2 linked regions of the Styela clava genome follow. The main gene of each other region encodes a partner of the protein of the gene in region 2 in a complex. Links are inferred from orthologs where the notes say so. Each region holds a gene or a part of one and is shown on either strand. Other genes may lie near its edges.

Region 1 (15,625 bases), on a different chromosome or scaffold from region 2:
TGTTCATATATATGAGGTTTGTTGCACGATGAGAATAAATATCCGAAACTGTTAGCTTATCCCATATCGAATTAAAGGTGAAGGCAATCGTCAGATGTATCATTAAGCAACCTTGTTTTCTCTTCAAAATTCCTCCGTGAAAACCTATATTTAAATAAAAAAAAAGTTTGCATATGAAGTGAACTATGAGCGAGAAGTGAAAGAATTCTTTTGTATACCAGTGCTGATTTAATCTGTTAACATGTCTTCTTCTTCTTGTTTGAAGTGCATTGTATGGACAGATATAATTTATTTAATGTATGATAAATTATATCTCGAAATGTTAAACTGAATTTGAATAAATGTTAAACACCTCTTTTTCTAAATTTCAGGGCCACGAAGGAACCGTCAACTATCTTACATTCCCAGATAAGAAATTTCTAATGAGTACGAGTGATGATGGAACAATAAATGTGTGGAGAGTATCGGCGAAATGGGACAAAGCGAAATGTCTTCGAGGACACAAAGGGCCAGTCACATCATTTGCAGTACACCCATCTGGTAAATTGGCCCTTTCTGCGTCCCCTAAAGATGGCACACTACGCACTTGGAACATGATATCAGGGAGGCCAGTTTATGTTAAGAATATGAAAAAATTTTCACCAGAAATCGTAAAATTCAGCCCAGGGGGTGAACATTATCTGATCACGTCTAAAAATTGTCTCCAAATTTATGAATTAGAATCCGCGAATTGTATTGCCGAAATTGAATGGAAAAAAGCCATTTTAGCTGCCGAATTCATTTCAAATAAACTCATAGCTGTAACGGGGGAAGGAAACGAAATTCACATTTATCAGACAAAAAATGGCGAGAGTGTCACAAAAATAGAAGCACATACGTCAAGAGTGAAAGGTCTTCACAGAATTACTCCGCCAAAGTTTTTGATTGACAGCGACACTGATAATTCTATAATATGGCTAGCATCAGCGTCCAGTGATGGCCATGTCAAAATCTGGTCTGTGGACGAACAAAAGTTAACGGATGAAAGCACGAGTGTCCTGAAATCCCCTCCTTGTGTGTTAGATATTGACACAAAAGCAAGGGTTACCTGCTTGACTTCGTGGGAAAGTAAAACTTGATTTTGGTTTCCCTATGTTGTTTTAATAAATGATCAATCATGCATGGTCCTTAGTTTCTCTCTATAGTCATCTAAGCCAGGGGTATGCAACCTATAATACAGTAGGGCCAGAAAATGTGAAGTTTACGCCGCGTTTTCACCGAGTGACAATGTGTACATTATTCGATTCATAGCAGGGTGCTTAATATTGAATTGGCCAGGGTTTCATAATCAATTGTTAATACCGATACAGAGATCTAAAAGTAGCTCAATGATTTAAAATTTTAAAACATAGGGTACGATGGCGTTTGGCTTGTGCAAGTGAAATTCTCATTACTGATAGAGCTATTTTTCAAGCTGCGGTGACAATGTGTGACACTTTGCTACCATAAAAATAATATTCTCACTAGTTGGACATTGAGCGACCATTTTTCACACTGGAAAAATTATGTTTCTGTACATAGCTGGGATAATATCATGACCCCTGATAAACAATGCATAGAACCCAATGGTTAGTTAAGGTCAACAATCAGCATGCTTTTAAGTTTTAGGCAGGGGCGGACACTTTCCATAATTTGGGGGGGGGGGGCGAACTTGGATTGCCTACCGAAAAACACCGCGCCGTGTATCGTCACGTAACAATAACCTGTCGATGTCATTCTCTAAGTATTAGCATGTCATTTTGCTACTCATATATCGATTACCTAGGCTGCTTTGCTCGGACACGGAACTTGCGCGTCACTGAACCAATTTCTTGAATTCCGCGAGAATTAGCCCACGGCTCTTGCTAACAAACAGAAAATAACAAATTTGAGGAGTCGTATTAGGTTATTGTTTCAATTCCTAGTTCTGCATAAAGCGCACTAACGCCGTTTCGTAAAATTAGAAATGCAAAACAAGGTAACAAGCTATTGTGCGAATTTTTTTCCTAAATTTTACCAAGGAGTTATCATTTGACTAGTAGAATTGCCATTATTGCCGATTTATTAAATCATCATTTGAACTCGAAATAACATTCAGGATTCACGCAATGACTTGCAGGGTTTTTATTTATAATTTAATACGAAAATAAACAGGCACAAGTTCAGGCGCGCAGCCAGGATTTAAAAAAAAAGGCGGGGTCAAAGTCGGAACTTCCCATTGCCGTCTGCAACAAGCACCGCGATTACGCGCTCGTTAAAAGAGCCGCCTATTTGAGCGTATAATGATTTTTCTGTCAATTCATGACAGCCACGAGATTCTAAAATGTCCTTATATATTAATTTATTTGTGTGCAACGTAACTCGCGGTTGCGACTTCTTACGTCAAAATAAAAATATTACTAAACTAAAGTACCACGGCGATATGTGTACATAAAAATATGAGATAAGCTGCCTGATGTATTTAATTTTAATACGTATTTTTGCAATCTTCCGAACTCGTTATCGCCGTTACAAAAATCTCGATATCTGATATAAAATCCCATATAGTACAATTTTAATTCATACAATGAAAATAATTATAAACTATACTAGTAAATCAAAAATACAAATTCACCGCCTCGAAATCCACGCGGAATGGTCGCCGCGATTACGCCACTTGTTAAAAGAGCCGACTTTATCAACGAAAACTGATTTTTCACTTGTGCAAAGTAATCAATCGAAGACCGATACGGGCATATTCAAAATGTCTTGATTTATTAATTTAATTGTCTTCAACTTAAACTGCGGTTGAGTCGACAAAACAAGAGCCACTCTAAAACACGACGGCAATCCGCGGACATAAAAATGTGTGGTAAACTGCCCGTTTATATATTGTTTTGATCCGTATTTTTGCTATTTTGCGCATTCGATAAATTTGAGATGTACTTGTCTATGGTGGCCCATCGTTGTCACGTGTAAAATTTAAAAAAAAAATGAAAAAATAAAATAAAAAAGCGAAAATAAAAAAATAGTTGTGAAAAAACATGAAAATAATTAAAAAAAAAAAATAAAAAAAAATTTAAATTAAAAAAAAAAATTGAAAAATAAAACAAACAAAAAAATTAAAAAAAAAATTAAAATTAAAAAAAAAAATTGAAAAAAAAAAAAAAAATTTGAAAAAAAAATTGGATAAAAAGAAAATAAAAAGGTTGACAACGATGGTCCGCCTCGTGGCCCATCGTTGTCACGCGTTTTTATTTTTAGAAAATTTGATGCTGCTTGGGACCAACGTTTTCAGACTTAATCCTACACGCACAAATGTGTTTCCTGGGTTTCTAACTCACTACTGATTTTCATGACCAATATCCAATAAATTCAACATGAAAATGTTCTACAAATTCTCCATGCTACAAGTTCAACCACAAGCAATATATTTATAATAAGGATAAGAGAATATAGAATTGGATACGAAAATTTGTTTTTACGTGTAGAATGTAATTTAATCGGAAAATGCTGCTTAACTGCTCAGACACTCGTGCGATGCCGGTACGGTATCGTCTGACCGTACCGGTACCCATGCAATCACTCGTGAAAGAATGGGAGATGATGAGTGATTGTATGGCTACCGGTACGGTCAGACGCAAAGCGACTATAACCGACTACCGGTATTTGGTAAGACGGTACGGTACCGGCATCGCGAGTGTCCAGACAACTGAGTAGTTAAGCAGCATTCTCCAATTAAATTACCTTATACACGTAAAAACAAATTTTCCGAATTTTCGTATTCAATTCTATATTCTCTTATCATTATTATAAATATATTACTTCTTGTTGAACTTGTAGCATGGAGAATTTATAGAACATTTTCATATTGAATATTGCTCAAGAAAATCAGTAGTGAGTTTGAAACCCAGGGAACACATTTGTGCGCGTAGGATTATGCCTGACAACGTTGGTCCCAAGCAGAAGCAAATTTTCTAAAAATAAAAACGCGTGACAACGATGGGCCACGAGGCGGACCATCGTTGTCAACCTTTTTATTTTCTTTTTATTCAATTTTTTTTTTAATTTTTTTTTTTTTTAATTTTTTTTTTTTTTTTTCGTTTCTATTTATTTATTTTGTTTTAATTTTAATTTTTTTTTTAATTTTTTTTTTAATTATTTTTATGTTTTTTTACAAAAAAATTTTTATTATCGGTTTTTTATTTTATTTTTTATTTTTATTTTCAATTTTACGCGTGACAACGATGGGCCACCATACTTGTCACACTGGCTCCGCTCAATCGCAATGTTGTCACTCCGATTATTTTCGAAGATAAAACCTTTCGAAAAATCCGTAAAGTTTCTGTCAATTCTCACGTAGTAAAAGTTATTTCAGTACAATAAAAATACATAAATAAATACAAAAAGTGATCGAATATACTTTAATTATCTTATATATCATCACAAACCGGGGAAAAGTCGCGTCCTCAGCTTTGTTTAATGTTAACAAGAAAATTTTCGACGTCAATTTAAAAGTAAGGGATAAAAAGGCAAATCCCGCTCACAATTGCCCGTGTTTCGATTTTAGTGACGAAATGTTTTTAAAGGTCAAGCAAACATAACTTGTGCCGTAGGCACATTTTCGATGCCTAGAAAAGCGTTTTTAGACTGTCGCGGGCCTCAACAAAACTTATATTGTTTACAGTTTTATTTTTAGTATTTTATATTGCCACTTTTCAACTTTTCGACATAGTAAATGCTTTGATCTTTGCCCGCAAATTATGCTGGGCCTTGCACGAAATCCATAACGTGAAAAGATACGTCCAGCGGTGAAAATTGTTTATAACAACTTTAGATCTAGTTAATTTTTTAGCGATAATAATTAATTGTTGTAATGAAACACAGTTTGCCACTTTCACTTCTCTCGCAAGTGCCAACAATAACACTATTGAAAGATTTTGACAATGAGAAAATCATGTTAAATTGTACAAAAATGAATTAGTTGTGTAAAACCGTGGCGTGTGATCGGCGGTGCGTTTGAAGACGGAGTATTACCCATGCGGGCGCGCATGTTTCACAAAATTGTGAGGTGCTCGGAAGGCGATCTGGTCCAAATTATTGTAAGAAAACATTTATAATATCGGTAACTATTACCGTTTAATTGCGCTTGACTATCGCACTTTTCGGAAATGATAATTTTGTAAGGCGGAAACAACATGTATTACATTTTTTTGCGAAATTATTGGGGGGGCGACCGCCCCTGGTTTTAGGGGATATTTCCACATTGAGGGGGTGGTGTATATTTTGTTGGTGATAAAACATGTATTTGACTGGAGCATTTGCACCGGCATATATACGCCACTTTGAATATGTAAGTTAAGAAGACCATCTCAATTTTAGGGGGGCAATAGGGAAATCAGTGGTAAAGTGAACAGCTGTTTATTCTTCTTCTATTCAATAACGCCAAAGCATTGGTTCATCCTGACCAAATAACTGTATGTAGCTTCAAGATAAAACAAAGTTCTAGATTTGATAACATTTATTTTAGTTCACCACAACAATGAGTAAGACTTCTACAAAGTTTCAAACTTTTTCATAAATAAATGATTGCAGCAGGTTTAAATACACATAATATGATCATTTGTATAACTTTATTGTCTGCTGCAAAGAGGTTCAGGATTTGAAAAATTGGGAATTGTTTTTATTTTGCTTGGTTGAAAGATGTTTATATATAGAATGCACAAAATCAGATCTACACAAAATCCGTACGTCTGCTATTTGCTTATTGAGTGGTGAATTTTGTTGCATTTCAAATAATTGTTTACATCAGACAAATTGGTAAGCCAAAATTAAGCTTATATATTTACTTGGTCTGACGTAATACCTAGTCGAATAATATTCATATGAAAGCCGTTGACTATTTAAATAGCATTTAAAAACTTTAACATTGGCATATGATTTTCAAACATAGAGACAATAACATATGGGAACAGAAATACAACATTGTAGAAGAAGAAAAAAATTAAAAAGGTCGGGTGCTATTCCTGAAAAGCAACACCTAATAAAGTTGTAGAATGGTGGCAAAGCAGCAATCTGAATCCCAGGCTCCAACGATCTTTTATCAAACAAGGTTCCTATATTCGTTCAGTCTCGTGATGTAGTCTTATACCATGATATAGTTAATTGCACAAAGCTGTTTATTTAATCAAAAGTCCATTCTACAGACAGGGTTATCTTGTACCATTTGTAAATTGATTTTATGGCCGACCAAATCCCTGATATTATCTATACCATATTTTATCATTGTCGGACGTTCTAATGACAAACCCCATGCGATAACATTAACATCTTCCGGAAGGCCCATTGGTAATAACATTTCGGGTCGGAAAATTCCAGAATTTCCAACTTCTACCCATTTTTTGAGTCCTTCGTGGTAGCTGAATATTTCCATTGATGGTTCAGTGTATGGGTTGTAAGCTGGCTTGAAACGTAACTTTGTAATACCAAGTTTATGAAAGAACGCTTGTAGCACTCCCATAAGATCTCCAAGAGTTACGCTGTAATCTGCAACTACACCTTCCACTTGGTGGAACTCGGCGAGATGAGTTGCATCCAAAGATTCGTTTCGAAACACTCTATCTATTGAGAAGTATTTACTGGGTTTAAATCCTTCTTTAGCAAGTTTATACAGCATCCTGGCGCTCACAGCTGTAGTGTGAGTACGAAGTAAATTTTTCTTCGCTTCCGAGTACTTCCAGTCGTAACAATACCCTTGCGAACCGAAACCACCTTCTGAGTGAACTCTTTTAACTTTTTCTGCATAGTCAGCTGGAAAAGTGTCACACTCCGCAGGGTCGGAAATGAAAAAAGTGTCATGAGCGTCTCTAGCTGGATGTTGCTGAGGTTGGAACAAGGCGTCAAAATTCCAGAATGAGCTTTCTACATAATTATTCGTTGGCATTTCTGTGAACCCCATTTCAAGAAATATTTGTCGATAAACAGATCGTACTTTCAAAAGGGGATGCAAGTGTCCTGCTGAAGGTTTGATACCCATCGCAGAGTAGTTGTAATCTTTAAAAGTTGTTGTTTTCCATGAGCCATCTTGTATCATTTGAGCTGTGAGATCCGTTGCTGCCTTCTCAATTTTCGTTGTGAACTTTTCACCTTTCGTAACATCAAAACTCTTTATAGTAACTTCCTCCACTAATTTACGTTTTTTCAACTCCGCCCTATCTTTGTCAGGAATGGGAGATCCTTGTTTTATTCTTGATAAATTATCTCTAACAATATCAGTTGGGTTTACGCCATCAGCGACAAAAATCTTCGGTGCGCCACCCGATTTGTCCACTTTGATCCATCTATTAGACATCGCCTTGCTGAAGCCAATTTTATCATTTTTATCTTTCACCAGTTCAGATTGCGCAATACCATCTGCTGGAACTCTTTTGAAAATATTAAACTCATAACTTCCACTTGATTCGAGCTTTTTACCCTCGGTTGAGAGAACCCAATTTTTGTCTGTTTTCTGTGAGGCGTCTATCACGCCTTCATGAACTTGTAAGCTTTTTATTAAACCGACAATTTTTTGATGTTCCAAATTTTTGGTTTTTGCGTATGAAATTGAGTTGACACGTTCATTCAATTCCAAGAATTGCAATAACTCAGTTGCCATATCTACTTCTTTCTCAGTCATATTTACTGAATAGTGCTGAAATGAATTACGATAAGTTGTAATGCACTAGCGACTAGCCTAGTAAAAAAAAAGACATTTCATTAAACCAATGGCAGAATGGCACAGCTCCAGCAATAATTTGCTTTCTATAGGCTCTGCATAAACTTTCAATAGACTTATAGAGTTATGCTCGAAGAGTCAAATATATGGACACGAAAAAATAATACTGTAATAGCCTTCTAGCGAAAAATACAATTTTCAATCACTGAAAATTGCAAAGCAATTGGTGATCCAGTTGGTAAAAAAAAGTCATTTTTTCATAACGATAAGAAGAAAAATACCGAGAAAAACAACAACAAAAAATAAAACGATGCATGGATCCACTTGTGTGTCCAATAAATACTACCGCCTGCCTGCATGATGTAACACTTCGAAATTATGAAGTGGACACCCTACTCTCCAACGTGGATAAACATTTGAATGTACCAAATTTATCTCCGCGAGTGGGCGCAAGTGACCATTGTGCAAGGAGTCGTATCCGGTTGCTTGATTGTTCATTTTTCGTGAATGTTGCAACGGAATTGTGCATCGAAGGTTATAACACGAAACTTTGCTTATTTTGATGAGTTTTAAAAAAAATTGGCAGAAGATGTCGTTTTACCACTTTTTTATACTTGTGTTCAAAGTTGAATTTTACAATATTTAGAAAGTTTTGGTCTAATTATACATAAAATCCAATCTTGCGAGAGGCAAAGAATAGCTCAAAAATTAACAAATATATCTATTTAAAATATAGTTAGTCATTTTAAGCAGGCTTGTTTATATATTTACGTTAATATAAAAATTTAACCCGATATCACCATCCGCAATTTGTTGAGGGTTTCACTAGGTGGCGACATTTTTGCTTAGTAATACTGATAACATTACTCGGCATAATCTGAGTTGAGCGTTTTGTTGTAGTCTGCTGTTCTGCGCTTGAATACCATTGATAATTTCTCTTGTACAACGCGATTTTGGGAAATAAATAATGGCGTCCGAAGGTAAACTAGAGAAAATGGAAGTTGATTACTCAACAACGGTGGACAGGGTAATTCCAGAATGCCAACAAGTTGCAGCGGTGAGAACTGTTTTGCATTGTAGCAGAATTTAGGATTTTTTCGTTTTGTAATAGATTCCTGTGTTGCTATTTCATTATCCAGGTCTACTTTATTATAATTTACGAGCCATGTTCACAACCACTGTATTTCGTGCCAATCATCTTTTGTTTATTAATTATCACCAGGTAAGACGATTGCCTTACCGATATCAAACGGTAAAATCTTATCTAATCTTAAACCATTAGTGTTTTTGTGTTTCCTGATTCTATTCAGACCCCTTGGACAGTGGTTCTTAATGTATGGGTCGCGACCCAAACATGGGTCGCGGAAGGTTTAAGAATGGGTCGCGACAAGGTCGTCAATCTAAGAGGAGAAGGACGAACTTTCAGCTTTCCCAATGTTTCAATTTAGCTTCTAAACTCTGGTATTTAAAAATAATGAAATATAAAATTTCATTCACGGGGAGAACTGTCTTGAGCTCATTGTTACATCACAATTCTGATATGCCAGTCACGTGTATTATTTTTATGGTATCGGTAACCATGCACGTCGCTTGTCGTTGTGTTAACCGCGTGGAATGTCGTCGTAGTGGATTAAAATAACCAAAAATGGGTGTCTTTTTGGTAATGTAAATTGTAATAGACGACGCAATGAAAAAGCTCGCTTCTCGACATTGGATTATTCAATATCTAGAGAAAATGTGACTTCTCGAGGCACCATTTACTGCGAACGAAGCAGTGTGTGCACATTTGATGAGGAAAAAAGTTGTATATTGCGAGAGATACCGAAGGCCAGCTAGGATGTCATGTTTGCGACAGACAGCGGACACCTTTTCTGCAACAATTCGCGACAAGGCACTTGTGCGAGCGAGGATATTTGGCACTGACGGTTATCAAAACTAAGCTCGCAATTGCCTCGATACCCGTGACAACTTGCGTATTGCGTTAAGTAAAATAGAGCTGTGTATTGAAGATATAATGAAAAGGAAATTTCAGTTTCATCAATCTCACTGAGTCAATGGACTGTTTCTAATAAATAGTTGTCTGTATTTGAGTCAAACTGTACTAACATTAAAAACACATTTTGCGTTATTTAGGATTGGGTCGCGAGTATTCATAAAACTCAGATTTGGGTCGCGCTCGAAAAAGTTTAAGAACCACTGCCTTGGAACAATTCTTTCAGTAGTCGCATGTTTCTTTTGTATTATCTAGTTTCGGCCGTATTATTTGAAAAATGAGGTTTAGTAATTTTTGCCTTTTTACTTTAGCGATAGATATTTATTTAGACTACTATTCTGTATTTCAGGATGGAAAACTCAATGATGCCGTGGATAAATTATTGGCACTAGAAAAACAGACAAGATTGGTGAGTAGGTTAACGTTTGCCTAAACCTGTAAACCAACTTTTCTTCGTTCTTATATGACTGGAAAGAAATTATATATTGAAATCCGTCGATAATTCTGAATGCTCTTGAACTTTCCTTCACAGCTGTAATGTTTATGCAAATATGTCTGTATGTGTCATGATATTTATGTCTCCCCAGACCTCACAAAGTTCATTTTTCAAACTTGAAAATTATTCTGGGAAGTTGACTAAGATTTTGCAGCTCTTTTTTTCTGACTCTTTTCCATTTTGATCCTGAGGCAATTTTTTTGAGGCGTTCCAAAAATGATCATATACACAACAAATAGTTTTGTAATTTCGACTTTTTTTTAAGGCTGGTGATATGATCTCGACCGGGAAACTTCTTGTGACCATTGTGAAACTCTGCTTTGAAGCAAAAGAATGGGACATGCTCAACGATAATATTATTGTCATCACGAAGAAAAGAAGCCAACTCAAACAAGTATGTTTAGATGTTTTTGATAAATTTTTCTCTAGACAAGGCTTTGACCAGCACACATTTATGTATAAAGAATGAAAAAGACAAAATTCTTTTATAAGGGTAGGTTCAGCTCACTCAAGTTAATATACTTATATATTTATTTATATGCTCAAATGATTGCTGTTAAAAAAATATCAAATTGAAAGAAAAAATGACAATATCTTGTGATGATCGTCCGAAATAACTTCCTCCCTCACTTTCTATAATATCTACTATAGTTATGCACAAGTATTTGTACAGTTTTGATTAATTTATATTATATGTACATAAATAAGTATTATAGATATAGTAATAATGATAATAAACAACTAATAAATATAAATACTATAGCAAATACAAGGCTAAATTTCTCTCCAAGAAGAACAAAATTCTTCCAGGATTTCCCAGTTGGGCAACGTATGTTTCTAAACCTTAACTTTTTAAGTCTAGTTGAACATTTTTGAATCATAAATGACTTTTATTACTTATCGATCTTAAGGTTAGTAATATGTTGATAGGTATTTGTCTGTCTGTATGTCTGTTTGTCTGTATGTTAGATGCACGCGATATCTCACGAAAGCGAGGTTGAATCTGCTCCAAATTTTGCATGTGCATTCATCATAGCTCGGATCAGAAGCCTATTAATTTTGGATGGATTATGTCTTATAATTAGCGAGTTATTAAATAATTAGTGATGGGACACACAGTGTCACTATGGAGTAAGACCACTGTTTTTGGGGAACCCCTAACCTTCGATTGATAAGTCTTCGGTTTCTAACCGATATTCTAGTTTTCCTTCTTATTCAAGTTCTAATAAATAGTAATTCATTGCATATGTCTATGTATTTCATTATGTAAACATGTCGCCCCTTGTTAAAATTTACATTCGTTTTTCAGGCAGTTGCAAAGATGGTTCAAGAATGCTATAAATATGTTGATCAAACACCTGATATGGAAACTAAATTAAAATTGATTGATACATTGAGAACAGTAACTGAAGGAAAGGTAACAGATTTTGAATACTTTTTTATTACTATTGAAGTATTACGAGAAGTATTTGGTTTAGCTTATTATAAGAAATTTCTAACAGTGACAATTTTTACTCTCATAGAGCCACTAGTAGTTTTGTTCCTAGGATATTCACTTCAAGCAATTTGGCCTTAACAAAATAAAAGGAGTTAACTTGGGTAAAAATAAAATCACCTCTTTAAATCTGTTTATATTGAGTTGAGTTAGGTCGTCATCCTACCTTTAAACTTACCTATTGTAACCAAAGATAACAGAATAAAAACTTAGCGAAATAAAAAATTAGCTGTGTCTTTTTATTTGGGTAGCAAAGTATTGTAAATGTTAACTTGTCTAAAATGAATATTCATCAATTAGTTTTCCACAAGTTTTTAGTAGCTAACAAACTGATTCATTTGATTAAGTGAAATTGGCTGTGCATTCATATCTGAAGTAATGAACTCTTCGTTCTTTTTTTATTTTGTTTGAACTTTCGCAGTGTAATCAATGGCAAATGTGTTTACAATGCTTAGAGAGACGCTCCAACAGTCAAGCTGGCTGTTTTTTGAAACCTTATTTTTCAATTCTTAGATTTACGTTGAAATTGAAAGAGCAAGATTGACAAGAATTTTAGCAAAAATCAAAGAAGATCGAGGTGAAATTGCTGAAGCTGCAAGTATACTGCAGGAATTACAAGTAAGATAATTGCTGATATTTCAAATCCAGAACTTTATAGTGATGTTTTCAATTTAAATACATTTAAATATTATCAATTTATCGGTGCCTTTATCACACACTTTATAAATGTGTTATTTAATATTAATTTGAGATGAGCTTATTCCCCCGAAAAAAATATTCATTACAATTAAAAGAGAGGAACAAATTACACGAGCACTTTGCCATGACCCCTACGACGACCAGGGACGCAGTTTGATGATTCCTGGTTTAAAACACATGGTAAATGGGAATGAAGGTTCATTTCTTTTTAGTAGGCTGTGTATGCCATTGATAAAAAAGAGTCAAAATAAGGGCATTTCTTTTAAATCTTCTTTTTTAATTTTTGATTTCTTTCAAGGCAGACCTAAAAACTATCCTTTATATGGCCCTACTCATGTGACAGAAACAATATTATGAATAAATTTTTCTTTCATTTGTTGGAAATCATTCATTTTACTGTCATTTACTTTTTGTTAATATTTCACTTTTTACCTAAATTAGCCCTGAAGCATGACTCAGGTGATATAAATTACAAATCAAATTTGTTGGTTGAAACAATTTATTTCACTGTATTCTATCATTTTATCTTTATATTATTAATTAAAGTTTTATGTGAAATTTTTTTTTTTCAATAACTACAATACTTTATCTTTCGTTGTCCTAATCTTAGGTTGAAACATTTGGAAGTATGGAGCGTAAAGAAAAAGTTGAGTTCATACTTGAGCAGATGAGATTATGTCTTGCAAAGAAGGACTACATTCGAGCTCAAATCATCAGCAAAAAAATTAGCATCAAATATTTTGAATCTGAGGACGAAGAAATTCAAGTGAGACTCGCTGTTTTTGCAGCTCATATTTCCGGAAATTTTTTATATTATCCCCCATCTCTTTCACAGATATCCATGTAGTCAATTTAGATCTAACTTTGGCCAATTCCGGCCTGTTGGGTGATTCATTCTGACTTGCCTGAAAGTTTTGTTAGCGTCCTAATAAGGTCTTTTTAATGTTATTTTTTGTTTATAGCTCATGCACTCTTACCATTCTGTTCATAAAATGTAATATTTTACGTCACACTTATATGGCCAACTGGTCTGGCCGCTGGTCCAAAAATCTTGCTCACTTCTGATATAGATAGTTTGCCAAGGTCATCTGATCCCCGTTGCGGCAAGAAAGAAGCGTGAAACCAAGTTAATTGTGTGAGACTATCCAAGAATACACAATTAAATTATGTATGGATTCAGACTTTCATAAGTTCTATTTCAGCCAAACATATGTAAAACAGTATAGAATCGTTGCCATAGAGTCGGGCCTATGAATTTTTTTTATCACAAATTGATTCTTCACATTAATGTCATTTGTGTTGTTGTGTTCTAAATCCAGATGAAACATAATTCATCCTCGTTGGTTAGGCACATAAATTGATTTGCATTGGATGAGGGTCCGTAAAAAATGGGATTTGCAAACGGGTCTGCGGCCTAAAAAGTTTGGGAAACACTGCCGTAAAGTAACACTCTACCCACTAGGCCTGACATTAATAAACTACGCGTGCCAAATCCAGCCCGTTGGGTAATTCAATCTGTCCTGCCTGATGCTGCCACAACCAAACTAAAACCAAATTTTGATGTTTTAACTAAAAAATAGCTCAAGGAAATTGTTGAGATTGTGATTAAACTTAGTTTTGGCACGAGGCCCACACCTGCACTAGACAATCTACTAGTTTAATAAATTTCGTCCTTTTTTTAGAAACTGAAACTACGATACTACGAAATGATGATAGAACTGGACTTGTCAGAGAATTCCTATTTATCAACTTGCAAGCATTTTAAAGCTGTTTACGATACACCGCTCATTCAGAATGATCCGATGAAATGTCAACAGGTATATTTGCTTCATTTTTTTAATGGTTTATTTGATATTGGAAAGGGGGGGCTCCCGAAGTATGCGAACCAAGAGGGCGGACATCGGAATGTAATATGTGTACTAGGTTAGGGTTAGGCCATAATTTTAGGTATAAATACTACGGGAGGCTCTTGGCTAGTCTTAGAACTGATAATAGGACTAAAATAAGGAAAATTGGAAAAAAATTATCGCCTAACCCTAACCTGTTACCCATGTTACGTTTCGATGTCCGCCATCTTGGTTCGCATACTTCGGGAGCACCGAAAAGGGTCAGGGTAAGCAAATGGAACGGGAATCTTGGCAAACTTTTGCATGTAAAGGTTGTCTTGCAATTAGCAGGAATAGTGGTGAATAGATGGTCCCGATTGACATATGGTTTGGCTCCACCATTGAGGCTTATTGGGATGCTGTAAGCCAGGGCTACCCAACTATTTTTACCGAAGGTCTGCATACAAAACTTCAAAAATATTTAGGTCCATCCTTTCCAGGAATTATATTTCGGCATCCTTAAACACGCAATTCCTCGGCCGACTAATGATAAGATTGTTTGGTATGGCGTTATAGTCCTTTTCATATATATTTTAAATCTATAAAAGTGATTTCATAAAAGGAACCTTCAAAAGTGGGGCTAATGATCCAAAATAAGGATTTGTGCGCAGTCTGAATCGAATACCCGAAAGGTCCGATTTTGGACCGCGGTCCGCCAGTTGAGTAGCCCTGCCATAAGCAATGGCTGGTTTGAATTTGAATGCAAAAACTCCTTGCTTGAGATTCATGTGATATTGTAAACCAGGGATGGCGAACCTTTTTCAATCAATGGGTCAAAAAAATTTTTTCTATTGTCCAAGATTAGGGGTTTTGAAAATGACCACACCAGCCTGGAAATTAACAATTTGAATATCAGCGATCGCAGTCCTGATTACCCAACTGACGGTACATTAAAAGAGTTTAGTTATTGTTAGATTCGATCAAGGCTGGTTTTATCAATTTTTATCACTGATATATTAGCATTTTTCTATTATATTCGTGCCTTGGCGGGTCACGAATAAAACGCGGTGGGTCACATTGTGGTTCGCCATCCCTGTTGTAAACTATGCTTCGTCTGATCTCAATAGCGTCTTCAATATCTTGCATGCTTATTTGGAGCCCTCTGGCTTTCTCCCGAGCAAAAATACATTAAAAAAATATCTGCAATTACAATTTCCAGTTGACAATACTGACTGTTATTATGGAGTTTTTTTTTCAAACCATTTTCCTATTTTTTATTTCCCAGGCATTGAAGAGTGTTGTGCTGTATGTTATATTATCTCCATATGACAATGAACAATCAGATATGCTGGAAAGAACAAAACAAGAGAAAAAACTGGAAGAAATTCCCAAGTACAAGTAGGTT
Region 2 (16,441 bases):
AGATAGATTATTACATAACAATACTAAATATTGTCATATATTAATCTATCTAATTGATTCTAACCAATGGACCATATCGTGCAACAGGAACAGGTTAGCTTAGCTTGTTTCTTATAATTATACAAAAGCCATAGACACACTTTGTCTAAACTGTTTGAAAATTAATTTTTCAAGCAAATGCGCAAAGTAATATGTATGTTGTACTAGTTTTAATTCTACAGACATTTCGTATACATTTTTGTCTCATCCGTAGTTCAATAAATTGGCTGATCTATGCTTAAAAGCGAAGGTTTTAGGTTTTTCCAAATATAGTAGATTTTCAAGTACAAATGCCTACTTGTCTAATCCCCAGTTAAAGAGTGAGAACATCACTGAAAAAAATATACCTTAACGCTGGAATTCTCTAATCTGTTGGCAAAATCACAAAGACTCTCTTCTGTGAGGTTGCATTGCCATAAAATGAGTTGCTTGAGATAAGAACAATCCAACAAAGATGAAGCAAGAGCATGCAAGTCAGCTGTCATTAACGGCATGTAAGAAAGATTGACTGAATTCCATACAGAAGGAACAATATCTTTTCTGCCTGTTCCAGCTTCATGTATTGCACGAATCAACTCGAGTCGGCCATTTTTGCTCAGTTGTTCAAAATGTTCAACTTCAGCAGCCATGCTCTCCACCAAAATATCTTTGTGAGATTGTACTTCGCAATGCTCTGGAATTTCAAACAAAAATGTTTACTTGCTATATCATTAACTATATCTTTCTATTTTTATACTCTAACTGTGAGTTCTGTATTATTCACTAATGTGGTTGTTTTTGTAGAGAAATTAAAAATAATCTATTCTGATCATCTATTTTTCATTCCACACTAATGTCTTCTTATTCTAGTGGTTGAATATATAACCAAAATATTGTGGGCACAATATAGCCCACTAGTGTTGAAGTATACGAACCATCTATGTTAGCATCACAGATTGAAAATCTAGGTTACAAATTCCCTGCATATCACTAAGATTGCAAAAATTTGGGTATGTATTGACAAATCAAGAAATTTCCAATCTTTACAAAATATAATTGCTATAATACCAGTGGTAGCTTTCACAGAGGTATGGTCAGGGTAAGAAGTGCGTGAAAATGTGGCATAAGAATAAATTTTTGTGTTTACATAGATGTAATGCAATAAATGTATTAACTCACCCTCAAGAAGTTGTTCTAAGGTGTCTGAAACCAAAGGGTCCAGAAATACACCATTCAGCATTCTTCTGATAACTGAGAACTCAGGCGTATGTAAATACTTTGAGATAAACTCTGAAAAATCCTTTTCAGATTTCTGTCCAATGAACAGTGCTGTCAGCACCTCCTGAATAATCTGGTGAGCAAACATGGCTTCTATATCACGTTCCAATATCTGCTGATATTGCTCTTCCTTGTTTAGACTTCCAGGAACAACAATAGCAAGATCTGTTACTTCGTTCGGGGTTAATTTAACTTCAGTCAGATCTACCTCGCTGAAAATAACCTTTCCTTTCATGGTTCCTTTGAAAGCCAATTCTTTCATCTTATTGACAGCATGGACTACATATTCAATGTCATGTTCCCCAAATGCTCGAGCATGCTTAGAATGCAAAAGATATTGTAAGAGGTTTATCATAATACCAGTTCCTGTGTTTGGGACAAAAGAAGATTCGTATTCCTTCTCAGCTAGTACAACCATGGCAAATGTAAGAAACATTGGAATTTCACAAAGGGCCATCAAATCTGGACATTTTTTATCAAGAATTTCCCAGGCTCTTTCGGCGTCATATTCCTTCAGGAATCCAAATACTAAATTTTGAATCGATTCACGGCTAAGACCTCCAAGAGAAATGATTCTATCAGGACGCAATTTTCCACCATAATTTCTCACTTTGTACTCCCTCGAAGAAGACAGAATTTTTGATTTTTTGAGGATATGACCAATAAAAATGTTGTAGAGAATGATTGATGGACAAGCATGATCCCAAGGTTCAATCAATTCAGTTTCATCATCCAACTCATAACCGAGTGTATCCAGTGAATCGATTATTAAGACAACCTTTTCAGAATTTTCAAGTACCCATTTGTATCCGATTCTACTTTCATCATCTGAAAGTGGACTATGCATATATCGGAACAAATATTCTCGCACCGTAATTTTCTCATCTTTTTTAAAACTTCGACATCTGACAATATGTATAAATCGATCTCCATCCTGTATATATGAAATTTCACCATTTAGCGCATCACGACCAAACCGCTTTAAGGCCGTTGTTTTCCCTGATCCTGCTGGACCTAATATCATCACATGACGGAGTAAATTTTCAAAATCGACTTTCTCCGAATCTTTATACTCACTGAGTTTTGAAAGAAAAATTTCCCCCAAGTTACTCAATCTTTCAGCATTCAGAGTATGAAAATTTCTTTCTTGAGTTTCTCTTGAAAATTCTTGCAATGGTTTATAATCATTAGCTTCTTTAGCAAAATATTCTCCTTGGTAAAATGAAGCAACATTGATTTCAAATAAACGAGGGAGTTCTTCTTTCACAGGTTCGTTCAAACTTTCTTGGAAGTCGAGCGAGACTTGCTTTTGATGTGCATGAACGTTTTTTCTTACTTTGTCAAAAAACCCATGCAGTATTTCATCAATCTGATGCCCTTTAACATCAACATCACCACGCCCCGACATATCGATTTAATGATAGATATCCTACACTCTACAAATCCATGCAAATATTAATTTAAATAACAGACATACAAATCAGTTGAACTGAATTTATGACTATGAGATAGCTAAGAAGCAACAGTTATTGCCCTTGAATATTGATCATCTTTGCTGAAATGAGTTGTGGAACATACAAAGCATATAGCACTATATATAGTTCTCAAGTTTTGGACTATCTTCGATTATTATGACTTGACACATTTTTCTAATTACCGTTGAACCTTTCATTCGATCTTCGAAAATATCACAAACTCTCACTGCAGTGCTCCGCTCCTGAGCTCAGTTGTCATTTTGAAATATTCAAAGCATAAAACTTTTTTCCCCAAAAAGGTGGATAACTGTTTTTAAACTAATTTGCTGGAATTAGATTTATCAGTCTTTTCCCTATTCATCATATACACAGAAATTTACAATAGTGCTTGTTATGTAGATGAGCATTTGGCAAAACATTCTACTGAGTATATCCTATTAGATATATAATAAAAGCTCCAAAACAGCTCTTTGAGCGGTTGTATACGACTCTTCTAAAAAATACTTGCTCCAGTTTTGGTTGAGAGTTCTATACCACGACAAAAATAAATTTGAGCAAGAGTAAAGTTTCATGCCCTGATGGTTCGCAAGTACAAGTCATGAACCGTTCTACTTTTATTCTCTCTCAAAGTTTCAAGCAGATACCTCAATTATAACGACCAGTGATCAATGAATTCAAATGAAGCGAAGTCAATCATTACAGAGAAAAGAATTTTATTCTGAAATCACAATATGGTTTAATAATTAACAACACTGAAATGATGCAATATGAAAGAGAGAAACCCTTTTATGAGAATAAAAAATGATGTTATAGGCGGACAGGTGGAATATTGACTATTATCAAAATTAATTTTCTTTGAAGAGAATTCACTCTTTCAAATTTTGAATTGTTATCTTCCTTAAAATAAATAAGCATTGTCTACTCTAGAGTGACTGTTGAAAGTGAATACACAAAAATACAAAGGCACACAGACTCATAAAAGCAAAATGTCTTTGTGTGTAAATGTAATAAAAACAACTATAGTGCTATTGACAATAGTATTGTATTGCCCAAGACATCATTGTAATACCAAGCCAAGGTAAATTACATTGAGTTAAACAAGTATGAAAAGAACTGTAGCGCCATCGACAATATTACATTCGTGTCAATATTGAATGTAGTGTTGACGACACAATAAAAAAAATTGCGCAATATATTGCCAATTCTACATTGATATCATATCCATGAGTGAATGCTCAAAACACATTTCCACCACCTCACTCAGGGTGTAGCAAATTTGGTATTATGCCAAACCACAAAGTTTCTAGTTCTTTCAAAGTTTTTAAGCTTTTGAATACTGAAAAGGATGGTTGTAAAATGTTTTTTTACATATGCCTTCTAAAACAATGTTGAAATAGCCATATCAACTATACCCAAACAAAAATGGCCACTCCCTCGTTTCATGTGCGACCGATTTTAGCAATTTAAACTACCCCAGAAAAATATAATTAAGACAATGAATTTGTACTGTAAACACAACAAAGGAGATAAATTTTCCATATTTATCTGCATTGATAAAGACCTGCTGTCGTCTGTTTTGTAAAACCAATAGAGGTAACTTGAATATAAGACACTCACACACTGTATGTATATATATATATATGATTTTAATACCGAACAAATTCAAGTAAAAATAAATTACCTATATTGGGCTTAAAATGAGAAAGCAGTTCGTAAATAAAACAATACCTGGGCTTTTGAATAGAGAAAAGGGATGGTCGTGAAACGTTTTCACATATGCCCTCTAAAACAAAGTTAAAATAGCTATGTTGACTATAAAAATTGTTACTCCCCCCATTTGAGGTGCGACAGATTTTAGCAATTTAAAATTAACCCATAAAAATATAGATAATGATAATATACTCATTTTGGCTATCCAACTGTTTAAAACCGGTGTTTCAATATATATACGCCAGGACATCAACGTTACACCAGATTATGACAAATTAGAATTGCTTTAAATCAGCCCATTATCACAAGCGGAAGCAGCAAAATTTTTGAACACTATTTATCCTATAAAAATATAACTGCTACTGCATTGGTGAATATCTTATGGAAGATTGAGATAACTTGGTCTTATAAAGAAAAAGCAGATACCACCATTTTTAGATTCCTCTTTTCCTTCCAAGTTAGGTTGAAGTCTATCTGTCTATTCGTATAGAAATGGACTTGGTCCCATATTTCCGTGGAAGTCAAGACCACAGTTTTTATACATTTTGTTATCGCATCAGCACTAAACTGTCGAGCGTAGGTTGAGCGTGACTGCCCATAAGGGTTAGAAGTTATTTAATATCACCCGATCACCATAAAAGTATTTCAATCCTTCAATTCATCTAAAATCTCTTGGAATGAATACACAAACCAATTTGCTTTTTCTTTCACAACTTCTCTTACGACATTGGCACCAAAACCAATAAAAGCGTCTGCTGGTGGACAAGCTTCTAGGTCGGTTGCTCCATCACCAATCATAACAATCTTTTTATAGCCATGCTTTTTACGTAATTCTTCAATTGCTTTAGCTTTTCCTCCTGATCTACAAGTTGGTAAACTTTCGTCAGCGCCGACACATTGTCCAGTGTAATAATACAAGAACTTGTTAGCAAGTATGTCTTCTCTTGGAATTCCAATCATTTTTGCGGTGGGGTTTATAATTTCCGTGAATCCTCCCGATATGAGAAAAATGTAGCATCCACGCTCTCGAAGTTTATCGATGAGTTCCTTTGCTCCGGGCGTGGCAATTGGTGTTCTTTGTTGTAAAAATGTTTTCAATCTTATATAAGTGGGATTTATTATTTTTATTCTTTCTCTTAGAGCTTCTTGAAAAGTCATAGAACCGCCCATTGCTTTGTTAGTAAGTTCTTTAACTTCATCGCCAACACCATGAAATTTTGCAAATTCATCTATGCCCTCATCGGGACATAATGTACTGTCTACATCAAGGCAAACAGCATCTGCATTTCTTAATACTTCTATTATTTGCTCTTTTGTGAGATCCATGATAATATGAATCGCAACTTTACTGTTTAAAATAAACAAAAGATTTATTATTTTATTTTGTCAACCAATATGAAAACAGTCTACAAAAAAATTACTGCTCATGTTACAGTTGCGTATGTATAAAAGATTCACATGCAAAACTGTTCAAATAAAATGGATGGATATACAAGAATTTTTTAATTGAGTCATTTAAATTCACTATATATTAAATGTATTTTAACGTTTTATTTGACTTTCTGGCCGTACAGGCAGACTTTAAAAATAAGAAGAAATAGGGTCTGCCATTCTTTGTGTTAGGGCTGTAAAATGCAATTCTTATAATAAGCTAATTTGATGTCTCAATGACTCCTATACAAGGGAGTTGAATGAGACCTGGGGTTGATTAGAGATATATTCTACTCTTTCATCTTTTAAGATGAGATAAATAAAAATGGAAACTTTTTGAGAGCGAGCAAAACATTTAATGAAGTTTAAAATATGAAAAATGTCATGCGCCCACTCACCAACAGTCGACAACAGCCAGAAAGAAGGAATTTATCCCAGGAAGAAGAGAGCCAATAAGACGTCGTATTATATGACAAACCACAACCAGCGCTTACGTAAACCACCCTACGGCAACGATGAGTCCAGCAATTCTAAAGCAAAAAATGTTTTTATCCAGTCATTGGTGCACAATCAAATATTGAATACTCGAAAATCACAACACAATATCAGTGAATTGGAAAAAGTTTAAACAAACATGTTTACATGCGGTACCACCTACAGGCACGCCGATATCTGAACATGTCTTACACATAATCCGTCAGTGCGCACAGTGAGACAGTGCGATAACTCAATGAACTGATTCAGTCTAACAAGCTTGCACGTGCTGGTACTTCTTTTTAAGACAATGTTACGAGTACCGGTACCTATCTGATTGTCAGAATCTGTATTAACTAAGCGCCGCAGGCTCCAAACCTGATACACCACCTGATAAAACCGGGCAAGCTACCGGTATCGTCCTATTCCACCCGCCCTTTACCAAAAGTTCCAACCAATTTTGTGAAAGGGAAATTCCATAGGATTCCCGCTGACACGTGTGCCCGGGTATTCCCCGTTGTTCTCGATTCATCTTGAGAAGTTGGGAAGCGCGGACACTGAACAGACTGGGGTAGCTTCTTGGGACCTATTTCTAAATTTAAAATATAAATCTTATCTAAGAAGCCCATAATCACAAGTTCACCGAATAATGATTTACGAGCAACAACTGAAATTGCGACTGTACATGCTACTAAAAGCGTATGCGGGTACAGGAATAATCTTGGTATTATAGTAATATTTTACTATGTTTCTCAAATTAAAAATATATTAAAAAGTCAAACCAGTTAATTTGGACTTTCTTAGAAATATAAATCTCTTGCTTTTTTCACTGGACATAATTGAGTCAGATAGCCCCAAGCCATTTCAGCACAGCTAACCAGCTTTAATAAATTTTATCCCAATTCCATGCGTTGGTTATTTTTTTTTTAGTATATATTTGTCCTGTTCTTTACTTAGGTATATTATCGTATTGTACCGTGATCGTAAGTTGGGAGCTGACAAATAAAGACATTGTCTCGTTAAAGTATCTGCCAAAGACGTGGGGGATTGGGCAGTCGATGTGCTGCTGTTGCTACTCGTCGTTAACAAAAACCAACAAGTCAATATATACTTTCTTACACCTAAACTTCCACGTTGGCAAAATTCATCAGTGAAATACTTGTAATGAAACACAAAATCTTATGAAGATATTAGGTCAAGTTCTTAGATGAAATTTCAGAATTTTTTTCAATCAATCAATCGGGCCGGTTTCTCCATGACTATCATTTCAGTACCGCAAATGACTGATTCATCCATTAATCGAGATTTGAGAAGGTATTCAAATCAAAATATAAAAGTAGTATAAAATATACTGGAACCGACATATTATTGTGCTATAGCCTAGCCTAAAAACATTAAACCGAGAATTAATCCCGTTGTTTAAAAAGCTTTGTTAGTATGAATTCTCGGAAAGGCAATACGAACCCGTCCGACACACGCTTAATTTTATTGTTTCGGGTTACTATGGCATTAGTTTTTAAAAAGTATTGACAAAATCACCGGAATATTTTAATTGTAAGTAATTGCATTGTAAGTCCAAAGGAATTGTTAGGTCTGCAATAAAGGTAATAAAAGTTATCAAATCAAAAAGTTTCCAGGACATGCAATACTTGGAAATGCATAAATTTCATTTTAGGTCAAAAATTTGGGGACAAAATACTGACGTTTTGAAGGTATACAGTACTATGTCTATGTAGCTATAAAAGTTTTTTGCACAAAGTAAATAGGTACTTAATTTAGCGTCCCAAAATCACGAATATTAAAGACAAGACCAAGACATTACAATTTTGCAATCACATTATGTTAAGTTAACCGAGTTTCTTGCAATTTATTTCATTTTGAAAACATACATAAATTATGTGTTTTGGCGATGGTTACCATTAAATATGAATTATTACAAATTACCGAGTCTGTGTTCAATTTTAATTTTTCTTGCAGGGGTTCGTCACTTAACAATCTTTCATATGGTAATGTGATTACCACAAAACATCATGAATTGTCAGTAATAGTATTTATTCAGTGAAATCACTTGATCTCGCTTGTCATAAGTTCAAACGCCCGAATTTGAGCAGAGATTAGATTTAGTGTTCAGAATTATACGTGCGCTTGTGAGAGGTGGCAAGTGTAAATATTGAAGTCTTCATTATCATTGTAGATCTCGAATTTCCTTCTGGGTTGTGTTTTTTCTGATGGTCACGTATTTCTAAATTTGTTTTTTTGTGATGTTTTTCTGGTGTGTTGTGTGCCAAAATTAATCATGTTAGCGCGGTATGCCTAAGACAGGCTTTGGAAAATTACGGCCCGCGGGCCGGATGCGGCACGACGAAGTGTTTCAGGCAGCCTAATTGTCTATGCTGAAATTACTATAGTTATTATGGATACAAATTTCCGCTGAAAATAACGACCCTGATTGTAACATTGCGCTTTCTATTATATTATAAACGTTAGCCTAGCTATGGATCTTTCTCCGACCTTTGAACCCCAAAATATTTTTTTTTATACTTTACCATTGAAATATCTTCGGGGCTATTTTAAGAGTGTTTTTGCGAGTTGGCGCCTGTAAAATGGGGTATCAAACCATCATTATGATTCATCGCATTCAACAATCTGTTTTTTAAAAGTACCGGTAGAGAATTTTAGCCTAGTCTATTACAGCTATTTCTACATAAATTTTTTATTACTGCAATTAAATTGAAACTCCTAGGGAGACAGAGTGATCATTAAATTATCCGATTTATACCTAAGTTTCCGAAACACAACAGAAAACTAACGAATAGAGTTCAAAAACGCAAAAATGAGGTAATGTTTACGACCACGCCTGAAAATCTGTCAGAGTGAGAAAAGTGTCTGAGCGGATGCGAAAAGGGAGCTTTATTACGTCACTTTTTGCATCTTGCTGATTGGCCAATGTCACGAAGTAAACAAGGAAATCGATGCTCGGGGAAAGGTCCATTCTACTAACTAGATGTTGTGAATAAACCGTTTTTTATTCATAGTTTCTCATATTGAGTTTTGAGACTCCGGCCACTAACCAGGTCTATTTTTTTGTAGCTGGCCAACTTAGAAAAGTAATTGCCCACCCGTGGCCTAAAAGATGATGCAACTTTGGGAAATGTGATATTGTGGCACCATTCAATTACTATTGACATGCCACCAATTAAAAAATAAATAGCGGTTAGCCCTGTAAATTAATTTATTATATCTAACATTTTTAAATTTTGTTTATAAAGAACGACGTTTTATAAAGGAATCAAAATATATTCAAAAATGGATATGCCACTGGTATGACTCCGGTTCCTCCCATTTTTATAAACTCCACAAGCGTTCCACATCTACATTACATGCTGATTCTGACTTGCGAGTGTTTTAGGCGTTAATTAATGTTCGGAAATGCCGACTATAAGTGTGAATCGGGATTTGTTGCATGAATGGCTTGGAAAAAAATATTCGGAAGAAGAATTTGATGAACTATGTTTCGAATATGGTCTCGAACTTGATGAAGTTACGTCCGTGAAGGAGCAGATACAAAAAGAGCAAGGGGACGCAAAGGCAGAAGGTGCCTCAGATGACATTATATATAAAATTGATGTCCCCGCTAACAGGTACGACCTGTTGTGCATGGAAGGCCTTGTTAGAGGTCTCAAAGTGTTTTTAAAACAGATTGAACCCCCTCGTTATGTGTGCTCCTCTCCTCCTGATTTGATAAAAATGAACCAATCACATGCCACACTGGAAGTTCGAGCAGAAGTAGTAGCAGCTGTTTTACGAAACATTTCTTTTACACAAGAACGATATGAAAGTTTCATTGACTTGCAGGACAAACTTCACCAAAATATTGGCAGAAAGCGTAGCCTTGTTTCCATCGGCACTCATGACTTGGACACAATACAAGGTCCGTTTTTATACGATGCTAGAAAGCCAACAGATATAAAATTCAAAGCTCTCGGCCAAACAAAAGAGTACACTGCTGTTGAGTTGATGGAATTGTACTCTAAGGAGAGTCATTTGAAGTCATATTTGCCGATTATTCGTGACAAACCTGTTTATCCAATAATTTACGATAGTAATGGAGTCGTACTTTCGATGCCCCCAATCATAAACGGTGAACATTCAAAAATCACTTTGAACACCAAAAATATATTTATTGAAATCACAGCGACAGATTTGACAAAGGCAAAAATAACTCTGGATACGATTGTAGCAATGTACTCGGAATATTGCGATAAACCATTTATAATTGAACCCGTTGAAATAACAAGACCGGATGGAAAGAAACTCATCACACCGGAATTGAAATATCGAAAAGAAACTGTTTCTGCTGAATATATCAATAATAAAATCGGCATCAAACAAAGTGCAGAACAGCATGCTGATTCACTAACAAGAATGTGTTTGAAATCTAAGGTTTTACCAGAAAATGGCAAAATTGAAGTTGAAATTCCCCCGACAAGATCCGACATCATGCACGCTTGTGATATTATGGAAGACTGTGCTGTAGCATATGGATTCAACAACATTGCCTTCACCTTTCCTAAATCTGTTACTATTGGAGCTCAGTTTAAACTAAACAAGCTGACAGATTTATTGAGAATCGATATGGCTGCAGCTGGATTCACAGAAGGTTTGTCTTTTGCTTTGTGCTCGAAAGACGATGTAGGAAGAAAATTACGGGATGGCGTTAAAGATATCCATCCTGTTCACATCAGCAACCCAAAAACATTGGAATTTCAAGTCACACGAACCTCTCTTCTACCTGGATTACTAAAAACTGCTGCTTCTAACAGAAACATGCCACTCCCGATGAAACTCTTCGAGATACAAGATATTATTTTCAAGGATAGCACTGCAGATACAGGATCAAGGAACAGAAGACACCTGGCTGCTATTTACTACAACAAAACCCCTGGATTTGAAGTAATCCATGGCCTACTTGATCGAATCATGCAATTATTGGATATAAAACCATCAGATGACTTAGGACCAGATAAATACAAGATCCAGGCTGCTGAGAACTCTGCCTTCTTCCCAGGACGGTGTGCTGATGTTATGATAAATGGAAAATTTGTAGGAAAGATGGGAGTTCTACACCCAGAAGTTATCACCAATTTTGAACTTGTTTATCCAGCATCAGCATTAGATCTTGATTTGCAATATTTTTTGACATAATTTATTTATTGTAATTAATGTGGTGATGTCATATATTTAAGTGTTTGTAGCTGCTCTCATGCAGAGTTCTGGAAAATTATTGAGCGAAGATGGTCGACGCTGTTTTAAAAATCCTATAATGTATTAATTGTTCCTCAAAAATGTTAAATGCGGTTTATCTCAGGCCCTGTCCATTGAGCCGATCACAAACAATCCTATCCTTTTCTGAAAATGTGTACCTAAACATTTTGTTAAATTTTCGCTACGGAATACAGAATTGCAATTATGTGTATTAGTATGATTCATTTAGAGCAGTGGTTCCCAACCTTTTTTGGTTCGCGACCCCCTACCTCACTTTCTATACCTATACTAAAATAAGCGGCAAAGTGAATATTGTGTAATATAAATTTTCATCAAGCTGTGATAAATGGCATTGGAACCGCGTAGCCAACTGCATAATTCGTGCTTGAGTTTTTGACAAAGCTAATCTCATATCATCCTCGACTTTTGTCCGATTCTGTGCCGTCGTTTCGATACAAAGAAGAGCTGAAAAGCTGCTTTCATATTTTTCATAACTTCATTTTCATATTGTTGCTTCTTCGCCATGGTAAATAAAATACCGGAATTATAACGTTACCGCAGGATGTATGATAATCTCCACAAAGAAACAACATAGACTACAAGCCTACCCCGCAGTAAATACCCCTTTGTATCAAAATCCTGGTGTTCTACAGCATTTCTTCGAAGCCCGCATGTTTACCACATTGCGGCGCGGAAATGCAGACGTGTTCGTGTGACATCACAATGGTTAAGATACCATAAACATCTTGCGCCGCTTGGTTTTCTGGGGTCTCACAACAGGTAGTGGAAATCTAGGGTCATTCCAGACTTCTTCGCGTTCTATTGACAATATTTAATCTAAAGCTTTGTATTATTTTTTACTGATTTGCCTTCACAAACCCGTTGCAACCCCCAGGTTGGGAACCACTGATTTAGAGGAAGTTTTACCACTAATGCATAAAGCAGAACTTTGTGAAGAGAAGAGGGTGGCTGCAGCCAGGGCTGTAGCCAGGAATTTACACGCGTGGTGGTTGTAAAATCCCTAACTGCCAAGTTAACAAAAAAAAAGACTCTGACGATGTGGGTTTTCAAGAGTCTTTGAGTGTCTTAAAGCAGCTGATATGTATGTTGAAAAAAACATTTTTTTCACATTTCAAAAAGAGGTCCGACCCTCAACCATGGATGTAGCTTCAAATACGTTGTTCATTAATATCAGTTTTGAGTGCCTGTTGACTGGACACTGTAATATTGCTGCATAACTTACAGCCGCCTGTCCACTCAGCCGAACATAAACACTCCCAAACCTTTCTGGAAAAAATCTGAAATGTATACATCCTAATAATGTTCTATCATTTTACTGTTTTGAGGAATACAACAATAAATCAATTTCCAAGGAGAATTCCATTTCCAAGGAATGAACTGTGCTGTCTTTGGAATTTATGTAGCAGTTTATAGATAATTGGGGATTGCCTCGATAATATTTACCGGTACTATTCGCTGGAGATTATCTGAAATAAAGTGGGATTTAGTCATGGGATACATGTGAAAATTTGAAACTATGGGTATACACCAATACCTCCCTGTAAATTCAAACCATAAATTCCACAATTTTTTTAGAAGCATATATTATTTTTGGTTCCATTACATTTGAACCCACGTACATTTGAACCCATGGCAATTGCACCTGTATGCTATTGCACCTATGTATTTTTTTTTGCTAACCCTACCTAACCCATGGGTTTTAGCACCCGCATATAGATTGAACCCGTGGATATACGCATGGGTTCAAATGTACATGGGTTCAAATGTACGGTCACCATTATTTTTCAGTGGTAGTAGATATATGAATAACAAAATTTTTCTTGTCAAATTGGAAATTTTCAATTTGATTCCCTTTCAAACGCCTTTTCACCTTTTTATGTCGCAGTATAGAGGACTTAACCTCAGTTAGACCGCAATCTATGTCTTCAGGAAGTCTGATAGAATGGCAAGTTTCTTCATTTACTTTGATTTTATATTCAATAAGCTGGAATTTGTTACTTGTGTCTGGTTGGGGCCAGTTTTGGCTCAAAACATCACTTTCCCATTTATGATTTGTAAGCTTATAGGGCATAAGTTGCATCCCTGACCACAGTTCTGATGCAAAATGAGGTACCATTGGCGCTGACATTATAATAAGAGCACACACCGCTTTCTCAAACTCCGGACTGGTTTGAACAATATCCTCTGGGACATTGAATAGTAATTTTGCAAGTGTCATTAGACAAGTGATAGCAGCACTGAGTACACAGTCTTTTTTATAGTGGTTTGTTATATCATTGATTGCTTTATTGGTATCTCGAACAATATTTTCAATTTCATGGAGAAGCTGTATAGGAGGATTACCCGAATTAACCTCGTTTTCTGGAATTTTATTCCTAGCATCGAGTAGCTTTGTAACACAAGTCCATAGCTTCAACTGCCATCTCATAACACCAGGTATGACATCTGTTTTTACATCCCAATGAATGTCTTCGAATGGTGCAGCAGCATACAACACATATAGCCTTGTTATACTGTAGCCCCACTCATTAACAAAGTCCTCAGGATCTACTCCATTGAGTTTAGATTTACTCATTTTTTGAAACGAGACTTCAACTGGCTCGTTGGTTTCTCTTAGGACAGGAACGTCTCTGGACTTATCAACTTCTGATACATGAATATATTTCCCGGTTGATTTAACTTGATGTGTTTGTCCTTTAATGATACCTTGAGCCAGAATTTTTTTAAATGGTTCTCTATGTGAATGCAGATTTTGATCCACAAGGAACTGATTAAAAAATCTGGCATAATATAGATGGAGTGTTGCATGCTCTTTCCCTCCAATATATAGATCGACGGGCATCATTTTATCAGCTATGTCTTTAGAAAATGGCAATTTTGTGTTGTGTGGGTCAGTATATCTTAAAAAATACCATGAGGAGTCAACAAAAGTATCCATAGTATCAGTTTCTCGATGCGATTGAGCCCCACACTTTGGGCATGTTGTATTCACCCATGATTGTACAGATGCCAAAGGGGAAACACCGGTATTCATTGATAAATCTTCTATATGAGGAAGTTTAACTGGGAGGTCTTTGGAAGGAACAGGGACCGGTCCATGCACAGGACAATGAATAATCGGTATTGGAGTTCCCCAATATCTTTGACGAGATATCAACCAATCACATAGCTTGCTACTCGTCATTTTACCACTATTAATTCCAAGTTGTTTACATTGTTCTAATATTTTAAGCCTCGCTTCATTTTGAGAAAGACCGGTAAAATCCTTTGAATTTAACAATAACCCATTGCTACTGACAACATTATTATATTCAAAATTAAATTTGTCAGCAATATTTTTTGCAATCTCATCGATGTCTGGAATACATAATATTGCGGTTGGCCTATCATGTTTTGACAGATAGTCATCACTTAAAATAACTTTCAATTTAGCGTCATTAAATGGGTTTTTAACAAAACAGTTACTAAGCACGATAGGATCATCTGGGAATGACATACTCAGTAATTTGGTCTTCATATTTTCCGCGCCATACCTTCCAAGTTGATGAGCAAGTTCGTTTTTATATTTAAATTGCAAAACAACATGCGAAGCACCAAATACTGCTTCAGGGTTCGTACAAAACACTGGAAAGGAGATGGGTCTCTCAATACCATCTACTATTAAAGAAAAGTTCATGTAACATCCATTGACTTTCCCAATCCAATTTCTCTGCATGGATTTAATCCCAACATCTTCATCAATTTCATCTAAAGTGTCAAGTAGGGATTCTGCATATTCTGATGTTTTAAAAAACCATTGTTTCAGATATTTTTGCTCTACAACTGCTCCAGACCTCCAAGAACAACCATTTTCATCAACTTGCTCATCTGCTAATACAGTTTGATCAATAGGATCCCAATTCACAAGAGCATCCTTTTGATAGGCTAATCCAGACTCAAATAACTTTGTAAATATATACTGTGTCCATTTATAGTAATCAGACTCGCATGTTGAAAACTCACGTTCCCAATCAAAAGTCAAGTTCAAATCTTTAAGTTGTTGCTTCATATATGATATATTACTTTTTGTCCATTCTGTAGGGTCGAGTTTCCTATCTCTTGCTGCATTTTCTGCAGGAAGACCAAAAGCATCCCAACCCATTGGGTGCATTACTTTATATCCATTCATACGATAAAAGTTTGCAAAGGTATCACTTATTGTGTAAACTCTTACATGTCCCATATGTAATCTCCCTGATGGATAAGGGAACATCGAAAGGCAATAAAATTTGGGTTTCCCATCATCAGCAGATACTGTCCTGCTTTCCCAATTTTCTTTCAATTTTTTATTCCAATATTTTTCAAGATCAATTCTTGTTACTTTTTTATATTTTCGTTCCCAAGATTTTGTTTCGTTGGTGATATGTCTAACAAAAATATTGAGAAAATTTGATCTGCTGAGTTGTCTATATTTAGTAACGAAATTCCTCAATACTGTCATAATGTGTCTATCAGATTTCTGTAATAATAATGGGAAGATTATATGCCTATTGAATTTCAAAAGCAAACACATGCCGGGTCTCGTGTAGTTTCGTACCTAACATACTTCTAGTGGGCATAGCACAACAATTTTTTCACCTGTCAATCCTAACCTCCACCTGACTACGCCATCCAAAAATTACGTCACTACGACGTCACAGTGACGTAATTATAGCCCTTCAAACTATACGAACTGCCATCCAAGACGCGCAGACGAGCACCCGAAATCAAACAGCTATTTCTCTCGTTTT

The links.
Region 1: the proteins of phenylalanine--tRNA ligase beta subunit-like (region 2) and phenylalanine--tRNA ligase alpha subunit-like are in contact, whole or in part, in a crystal structure (PDB 3L4G), measured with the Homo sapiens proteins. The link is inferred for Styela clava from reciprocal best matches to the Homo sapiens genes FARSB and FARSA. Residues at the interface, in NP_005678.3 of Homo sapiens: Glu26, Phe29, Gly32, Leu33, Pro68, Ala69, Asn70, Ile150, Arg152, Asp259, Thr261, Lys262, Arg305, Lys316, Lys317, Val318, Gly319, Ile359, His360, Cys362, Asp363, Glu366, Ala369, Ile370, Tyr374, Asn375, Ile377, Gln378, Met379, Thr380; in NP_004452.1 of Homo sapiens: Ser221, Gly222, His223, Leu224, His225, Leu227, Leu228, Arg231, Ser232, Arg235, Leu239, Gly242, Phe243, Thr244, Glu245, Pro247, Asp249, Asn250, Phe251, Ile252, Glu253, Ser254, Phe263, Gln266, Gln267, Phe277, Phe278, Leu279, Arg280, Asp281.

What each region holds. Positions count from the first base shown.
Region 1 is NC_135250.1:4,203,636-4,219,260, forward strand, and holds phenylalanine--tRNA ligase alpha subunit-like, read right to left. Parts: upstream 7,750-15,625; 5' UTR 7,673-7,749; coding exon 6,185-7,672; 3' UTR 5,501-6,184; downstream 1-5,500. Other genes in the region: p21-activated protein kinase-interacting protein 1-like, read left to right, coding at 372-1,118; 26S proteasome non-ATPase regulatory subunit 12-like, read left to right, coding at 8,679-8,768, 10,054-10,113, 10,466-10,594, 11,510-11,617, 12,209-12,313, 13,005-13,160, 14,077-14,211, 15,506-15,618.
Region 2 is NC_135256.1:5,856,454-5,872,894, forward strand, and holds phenylalanine--tRNA ligase beta subunit-like, read left to right. Parts: upstream 1-9,621; 5' UTR 9,622-9,815; coding exon 9,816-11,591; 3' UTR 11,592-11,862; downstream 11,863-16,441. Other genes in the region: uncharacterized protein LOC120327812, read right to left, coding at 387-712, 1,198-2,704; phosphoserine phosphatase-like, read right to left, coding at 5,127-5,807; putative leucine--tRNA ligase, mitochondrial, read right to left, coding at 13,450-16,170.